Elephas maximus indicus: one gene and its partner. The protein of the gene in region 1 interacts with the protein of each later gene in a pairwise test. Links are inferred from orthologs where the notes say so. Each region holds a gene or a part of one and is shown in the gene's direction. Other genes may lie near its edges.

Region 1 (3,748 bases):
AAAATATGTGTCAATTTGGTTAGGGCATGATTCCCAGTATTGTATGGTTGTCCTCCATTTTGTGATTGTAATTTTATGCTAAAGAGGATTAGAGTGGGATTGTAACACACTTACTAAGGTCACATCCTTGATTCAACGTAAAGGGAGTTTCTTTGGAGTGTAGCCTGCAGCACCTTTTATCTTACAAGAGATAAAAGGAAAGGGAAGCAAGCAGAGAACGGGGACCTTATACCACCAAGAAAGCAGTGTTGTGAGTGGGGTGTGTCTTTGGGACCCTCACACAGAGCAGCTCCTAGTCCAGGGGAAGACTGATGACAAGGAGCTTCCACCAGAGCTGACAGAGAGAAAGCCTTCCTCTGGAGATGACACCCTAAATTTGGACTTCTAGCCTACTAAAAAAAGCTGTGCTAAAATAAATTTCTCTTTGTTAAAGCCATCCACCCGTGGTATTTCTGTTATAGCAGAACTAGATGACTAAGACACCTTGTGAAGTCAAAGGAGGTCAGACACCACCTCCATACCGTTTTTACAGCTGCTCACAATTTAAAGTCATGTACCAGTTTATATTTTAATGTTTGTTGTTCCTATTACACCTTAAGTTCCGTTGTGTTATGTTCACTCCTGTAACCCAATGTGTAACACGGTGCATAGCACATGGTCAACGCTCAGTAAATATTTGCTTAATAACGCATGGCTGATGCGAAGGCTAGAAGCCTCTGGCACTTCTCTGGGTTAGGTTCCTTGCGGGTGATGGTAGATGGAGACAGGCATTTTCCTCGCTCACCCACAGGGCGCTTTTCCCTTTCCCCCTTTTTTTACGGGGCAGGGTAAGTGTTTGCTGCAGGGCTGTGTGTGAGAGACAGACTGCCTGTAGACCAGGGGCGGCAGGCAGGGGGAATTAGCCGTATTTCTGTGGGACAACGTAGTTTTGTCACAGAACTAAGCGCTCTTCTGGCGCAGGTGCGAGGGACGCTGCCAATCTCCCCTGGAGGGGGCGGGACTAACGCGAGCCCCGGGTGAGGGCGGGTCAGTGTGTCCTTCTCACAGAACCTGATTGGTCTGTGGGAGCCGGGGAAGCGGGGGCGGGGCTTGATTCCGTCGGGCGCCAGCCACGTTGGACGCGGTGCGGCCCCGAGGAAAGGCCGCTCCCTGGCCCACAATGCACTGCGGGAGGCGTCACTCGGAGCGGCGGGTGCTGGCTCGGCAGGTACGGCCCGGCCCCTCCCAGTCTTTCCTGGGCTCCTCGAGGCCGTTCGGACCCGGGGCTGGCCTCTTCCCGTGCGCTCCCCGTCTCCCGCCCAGCCTCGGCCCTAGCCCAGGCTCTGGGGACTTCGAACCTACTCCGGGACAGAAACCGAGCCTGAGCCGTGGGGGCGGGAGCCGGCTGTCGTTGGAGCCGCGGAGCTCTGGAGGGGCGGGCATGCGGGGACCCTGTCTCCTCCTCCGGCTTTAGGGGTCCGTGATCCGCGAGGGCGGCGCTTGCCCCTCGGCTGACCTGCCTCAGGGGGGGTGCTCGAGGGGCGAGGAACAGTCGCCTGGGCTGCCCGCCCGAATGACAAGAGTACGGTGATCCACCTGGCTGCTGAGTTGGACCGAGAGAGCTCGAGGTGGCATTTCCTATTTCTGTTAGGCAGGGTGAGATCTGAATCAGTTACTTTGCGTTTTGTGGGATTGAATGAGCATTGAGCCCAGAAATTAGCCCGCTTTGGCTCGGGGAAACCTCTGGAGGTATTGAGCCAGGAGGCCTAGTTAGTGGCACTTTAGGAACTAAGTGGCGGAAGGGAGACCTGAGCAATTGGTTCGACAGGTGGAGGTGGATTCCGGAAGAGGAGGCCGAGCCCGAGCCGGCTTGAGTCTCTGACAGTGAAAACAGCTTTGGATTTTTCTCCTGCACCTCAGTTTCCTGCTCATTCACCTGGAACCGTAGGTGTGGAGAGACCGAGAACCAGACCCTCCTGTATCTGTTCAGCCAAACAAAACCCAGCTCAGGGCTAAAGTTCCAGCCACCAGCCGACAGGTGGAACTAGCCACTTAAAAAAAAAAAAAAATCTCTGGATCACATTCCGAGTTACTTCTCGTCATTTCTTTACGGTTGATATTGCAGGGAATTAGGTAGTACCTTAAACACTAGCTACAATTCCTGGCATGTGAAGGTCGTTGTTCAGTATTTGAATCAGACACTTGTGACCATGCCCTAAGTTAATGGGCCATCTGGTATTTCCTACATTGAGAAACATCAAATCAATGTAGTTCTTTTTGGGGGATGTGTCACTGATTAAAACAAACAACTAAGTATATTTTACTTTGTTGTGTGAAAGAAGCCCAGGTCCTATCAAAGGGATGACTGACCTTCCTTTCTATGTATTTAAGTGAGAATCTTGGATTTGTCGAGGGGCATTGTCTCAGGGTGATTAGAATTAGGCCTGAGTTTAAATCCCTACTGTGTTACTTACTAGTTTGGGGATTGAACAAGTTACTAAACTTCTCTGGGCTTAATTTCCTCAAAGTAAAACGGAGCTAATAATACTGACCTCCTAGGTTATTGGAAGGCTTAAATGAAGCAATGTGTGTAAAGTATTTGGTCCATAGAAGGTAATCAATAAAAAGAATAAAAAACCTCATTGTCGAGAAGATTCCGACTCATAGCGACCCTAGAGCAAATATTTAACATAGCACTTAGAGTCTGCAAGGCATTGCTTTCAGGTGCTTTACGTTTAATCTTTAACATAACCCTATGAGGTAGATACTATTAATAGCCACAGTTTACAGGCGAGGAAATTGAGGTCTAGAAAGGCAAATTAGCTTGACCGTGGTTACCTAGCTAGTACATGGTGGAACCAAGACTTGAACTCAGGCGGTTGGCTCCTGAGTCCATCCTCTTAACTACTACACTGTACTACTACCTCTTAAAAAAAATGTAAGCTGTCATTCTGTTAGTTCAAAATGAGTAGCTAGATAGTTTCTGTACCAGTGGATTCTTGACCCTTGTTGGTGTTGGGGGACTGATATAGCAACGTGATGTAGGAATACAAGGAACTTAGGTTTAAGTACCAGTTCTGCCATATATTAGCAGTGTGACAGTGAGAAAGTGAACCTCCATTTCCTCATCTGTAAAATGGAGCTTCTGCCTACCTCACTGTTTAGAATTCTGAGGTGCTACACCTATGTTGGGGATTGACACATTTGATCATCATCTAGCTGAAATGGACAGGTGAGGATTAATTTAGTCTCTGAGGTAGAATACCTTTGAAAAAAATCATGAAATTTTAATCAGAATTTTGGATTTTCACAGGTTGCCCCTACTGCTAGTGAAGGAGAAGCATCTAGTGGCATTGAGTTTGATGGCCTGGTGGAGAAGAGTTATCATTTAATTTCAGACCATGGGCATTATTTTAATTCAGTGTTCTTCAAAGTATGGCCCTTAGACAATAAACATTGTAATCACGGAGGGAATTTGTTAAAATTGAAGATTCCCAAGCCCCACTCCACAGTCAATGAATCAGATTTTGGGGGGGGTGGGCCCAGCAATCTATATTTCTAACCAAATGTCAGCATTTCTTATATGAACTAACATTTGAGAACTACTGTGTATTTTATCAAGTTTCACTCTACCTGCCTGATTGGTTTCAGACCTAGACCTGTGTAGTTTCTTAATCTGTTTTAGTTTCTTAATCTGTTTTAGTAAAGCCTGACCAGAATTCAATAAAAGAGGCCATTATGATTTATTTTCTGGTAAATCGATTGAGAA
Region 2 (3,748 bases), on another chromosome or scaffold:
GCTAAATCTTCAGATACGTAGAAGGCTAAAATTCTGTCAACAAATATTTATTGAGGGCCCATTCTGTTCTGGGTACTGAACCAGACTATGGGGATTCAGTTAAGGACAAGCCAGTCATGCCCCCTCCCTCCCCCCGGCCTCAAGAACTCACAGTCCACTGTAATGTTGAATGTGGGCATTTTCCTGTGGACTCCAGAGTAGAACCAGGTGGAAGGCGGGGGTGGGGGTGTAAGTGGCAGGGAAGGGAACGGTTCGATATAACGCAGACACTTTCCTCAGCCTGAGCTGCCCCGAAATGGCCTTGCTGCTTGGAAGGTGATGAGTGCAGCGGGACTGCAGTGTTCAAGCAGGGCGGCTGACCGCCCACCTGTCAGAGGCTGTGCCAGGAGTATGCGGGAGAGAAGATTCTGCTTTGGGTGAGGTCACTTTCCACCCCCAGATTCTCTGCCTACAAAGCCCTGCAATTCTCTAACGCTAAAAACTCAGATCTTATTATTCTCTGACTTTCAAGGTCCCATGATACTGACAGCTCCAAACTCTAAGTCAGCCTCTGCCCACGCCCCTGAACCCAAAAGAAATAAGAGAAATTCAGCAAGGGTCCTACCACCCACTGCCTCAAAAGGCCTCTCTGGTGGTACTCAGCGTCGCCCCCCAACTCTTGGGGGCTGTAGGGGTGTAGCTCGGTCGCGGGAGAGCCGGGGACATCGTGGGGAGGAGGGTGTCCCAGAAAAGGAGTTCATAGAGCCGGTACACGTGACACTGAAAACATCAAGTTCTGCGGTCCGCGGGGCTGAGATGGGGCCGGTCACATGACGCAGGGGGCCACCATGGGGTGATGTGAGACGAGGGGCCTCTCATATGACGTCCAAATGACGCATTCCCACCCCTTTTGGCAACTAGATTTCCGTTGGAAGATGAGACTGTTCCCGTAAAGGGACCGGGTTCTCACATCCTTGAAGTTTTGCTTCCGTTCGGGGCGCCACAGCTTCCGACTTCCTCCTCTCCCTGGGGCAAGGGAGAGACGCGTCCTTGTGCGCATGCCCCGAATCTTCCCAGCGGGGGCGGGGCTGAGGCTACGGGAGCTGGTAGGGGGGGAAGAAGAGGGAATACCAACCTGTGGAATCGGGGGGGTATCCGAGGCTGGCTCCTTCCCATTGGCTGTGGACCGTGCAAGGGACAGAGCCTCTGGCGGCTCGTGGAGGTGTTGGGGTCCGCAGGGTGAGGGAGGGGAGCGTCAGAGTGTGAGTGGGGAAGGGAGTTCCAAACTTAGATCCTTGAGGCCCTCGGGGCTCAGGCGCGGGGGAGAGGGAGCTCGGGCCGTCATGCGGGACAGGACCCACGAGCTGAGGCAGGTGAGGAGTCGGTGCAGCAGGGTTGGGAGCGGACAAACGGGGTGGATTTGGCTGGAATGCGGGACTTCTGGTCCTCGGGGCAGGGAAGGGTGGCTGATGGCAGGGAAGGAAAGACCCGGAAGCCCGTCGGTTCCGTGGGGCGAGAGCAGTAGCAAGAAAGTAGTGCCAATGACCCCGGCTCTGGCAGGGAGATGACAGCTCGGACGATGAAGACAAGGAGCGGGTCGCGCTTATGATGCACCCGGGCACGGCCTGGCTGGGGGACCCGGACGATGAGTTCTTCCAGCAGGTAAGGGGCTGCGGTCTTGGCCTAGATTTGCGAGGGGACGGGGCTGGAGAAAATGAAGAGCAGTGCGGCCTGGAGTACCCCGTGTCTCCTTTAGCTTTCGCTGTCACCCTCCCCAGGTCAGGACAATTCGGCAAACTATTGTCGAGCTGGAGAATAAAGTCCGGGAGTTGGAGAAGCAGCAGGTTACCATCCTGGCCACGCCCCTTCCCGAGGACAGTGAGTGAAACCCCGGGTGCAGAGCGCATGCTCAGTCCTAGGGGTTGTGGGGGTTGTAGTTCCATGCAGGTGGTGGCCGGGGTGGTTGGTTGAGGTAGGAACTGTTGTTTTGGGAGTTATGGTCATCTCTTGTTCAGGCATGAAGCAGGACCTGCAGAACCTGCGCGAGGAGATCAAACAGCTGGGGAGGGAAATCCGCACACAGCTGAAGGGTGAGCTCCTAGAACTTCAGATATATCCTTTCTTCTGATCCTACCTACCTGCTGGTACATCTGGGGAGTGTGGAATGTGTGGCCCAGAGAGGCTGGTGGTATATCCAGGTCACACAGTAGGCCTCTAAAACCTTGGTCTTCCAGTGTCCAGTCCAGCACACTTTCCACAGCAAACGCCTGATTTTTTCCTGTACTTTTATTTACAATGAAACCATTGACTCCTACAATTCCTCCTGCCCAGTGTGCATTCTTTGTGCAAGCAGATGGGGGTTTTATTAGGAGACCTCTGCATACCTGTGGGAATTGACTGATGCATTGTAAACCAAAAATACACTTTCTACTCTTAGAGGCTTAGAATTAATCATTTTACGCTAAATTGTATTTCCCTTAAAAAGTCTGTGGATGCAAACACCTTCCTGTTGTGTGGCTGGGGGTTGGCCCTCGCTCTGTGTCCTCATCCTCAGTCTTCAGAAGCCACAGGTCAACCCCTGCCCTTACCCTGGTGTCTTCCCACAGCAATAGAGCCCCAGAAGGAGGAAGCTGATGATAATTATAACTCAGTCAACATGAGGATGAGAAAAACCCAGGTAGGTTTCTTGTTCTGAGAACTAGGACATTCCAGCAAGTGTTTCATAGATCATTAGATGGCAGAAGTGAAAACAAAGGGCCCTTAGAGATCAAGTCCAACCTGATAATTTTCCAAATGAGGAAACTGAGGCTCAGAGAGAGAAAGGGTTCACCCAAGGTCAAGAACCCAGGTCTTCTGATTCCCAATCCATTTTAACAGTTGCTGAGTCCCCAGATATGTCCTAGGCTCAGCTGTGGGAGATATACTTTCCTGAGGTGGGGAGTTACAGGTTGAGTAGGACTTGATGACTAATGGTGCTCTGCCCAAGGAAGGAGAGGGAGAAGTCAAATGACTAGGGGTTTCCAGCCCACATGACAAGGACAAACTTGAATTTGGGAAGTCAGGAAGAGGAACTGCCCTGAGGGAAAGGTCACTGAATCAACATCTTAGTTAGGAGCTTCGAGGTGATCTGATGGGCCCCTTCTGGGTGTCCAGTGAGGACTGGTTGGGGTTGTTGGAGGTCATGGTTACAGTAGGTGAGCCCAGAGCTCAGCAAAGACCTCAGATCAAAGAAGGAGAGGTTTGGGCATCTTGAGAGCAGATGTGCCTCTGAAGAAGGAATGCAAGGAATGAACGCATTTCAGACATTGGGGGAAGACAAGGCAGGACAAAGAAGCCTCACAGAAGTCCAGAGAGGGTATTTCAGCAGGAGCCATGGTGGATATTTTTGTGAGAGGCAGAGGGCCTAGACAGACCTGTAAATCTGTACGTCAGGCTGACTGCCAGGAGTCCTGGCACACCTGTAGGCTCTAAGGAGAGAGGCCAGCAGTCAGCAAACATTCAACAACTATTTATTGAGTGCCTACTGACTTTTCTTGTTGTTTGGGTTGCAAAACAGTGAACCAAACAAAGATCCCCACTCTCATAGAGCTTACATTCTGGTGGGAACAGACAATCACCACAGTAAACATTAAATTATTTTAGAACATTGTAAGTATTAAAGAAAAAAAACAAAATAGAGCAGGAGAAGGATTGAAAGTGCTGGGAGAAGGTAGGGTTGCAATTTAAAGGTGGAGAAGGCCTCATTCAGAAGACGACATTTGAACAAATA

Evidence for each region.
Region 2: the proteins of SEC22A (region 1) and STX4 interact in binary tests that used the Homo sapiens proteins (3 or more experiments, as listed by UniProt). The two-hybrid records come from large-scale screens. The link is inferred for Elephas maximus indicus from reciprocal best matches to the Homo sapiens genes SEC22A and STX4.

What each region holds. Positions count from the first base shown.
Region 1 is NC_064819.1:14,018,970-14,022,717, forward strand, and holds the start of SEC22A (vesicle-trafficking protein SEC22a), read left to right. Parts: upstream 1-1,138; 5' UTR 1,139-1,207; exon of another isoform or gene 1,208-1,635; intron 1,636-3,748. UniProt on the Homo sapiens protein: May be involved in vesicle transport between the ER and the Golgi complex.
Region 2 is NC_064830.1:90,287,237-90,290,984, forward strand, and holds the start of STX4 (syntaxin-4), read left to right. Parts: upstream 1-1,082; 5' UTR 1,083-1,322; coding exon 1,323-1,352; intron 1,353-1,539; coding exon 1,540-1,641; intron 1,642-1,757; coding exon 1,758-1,857; intron 1,858-1,994; coding exon 1,995-2,069; intron 2,070-2,585; coding exon 2,586-2,656; intron 2,657-3,748. UniProt on the Homo sapiens protein: Plasma membrane t-SNARE that mediates docking of transport vesicles. Necessary for the translocation of SLC2A4 from intracellular vesicles to the plasma membrane.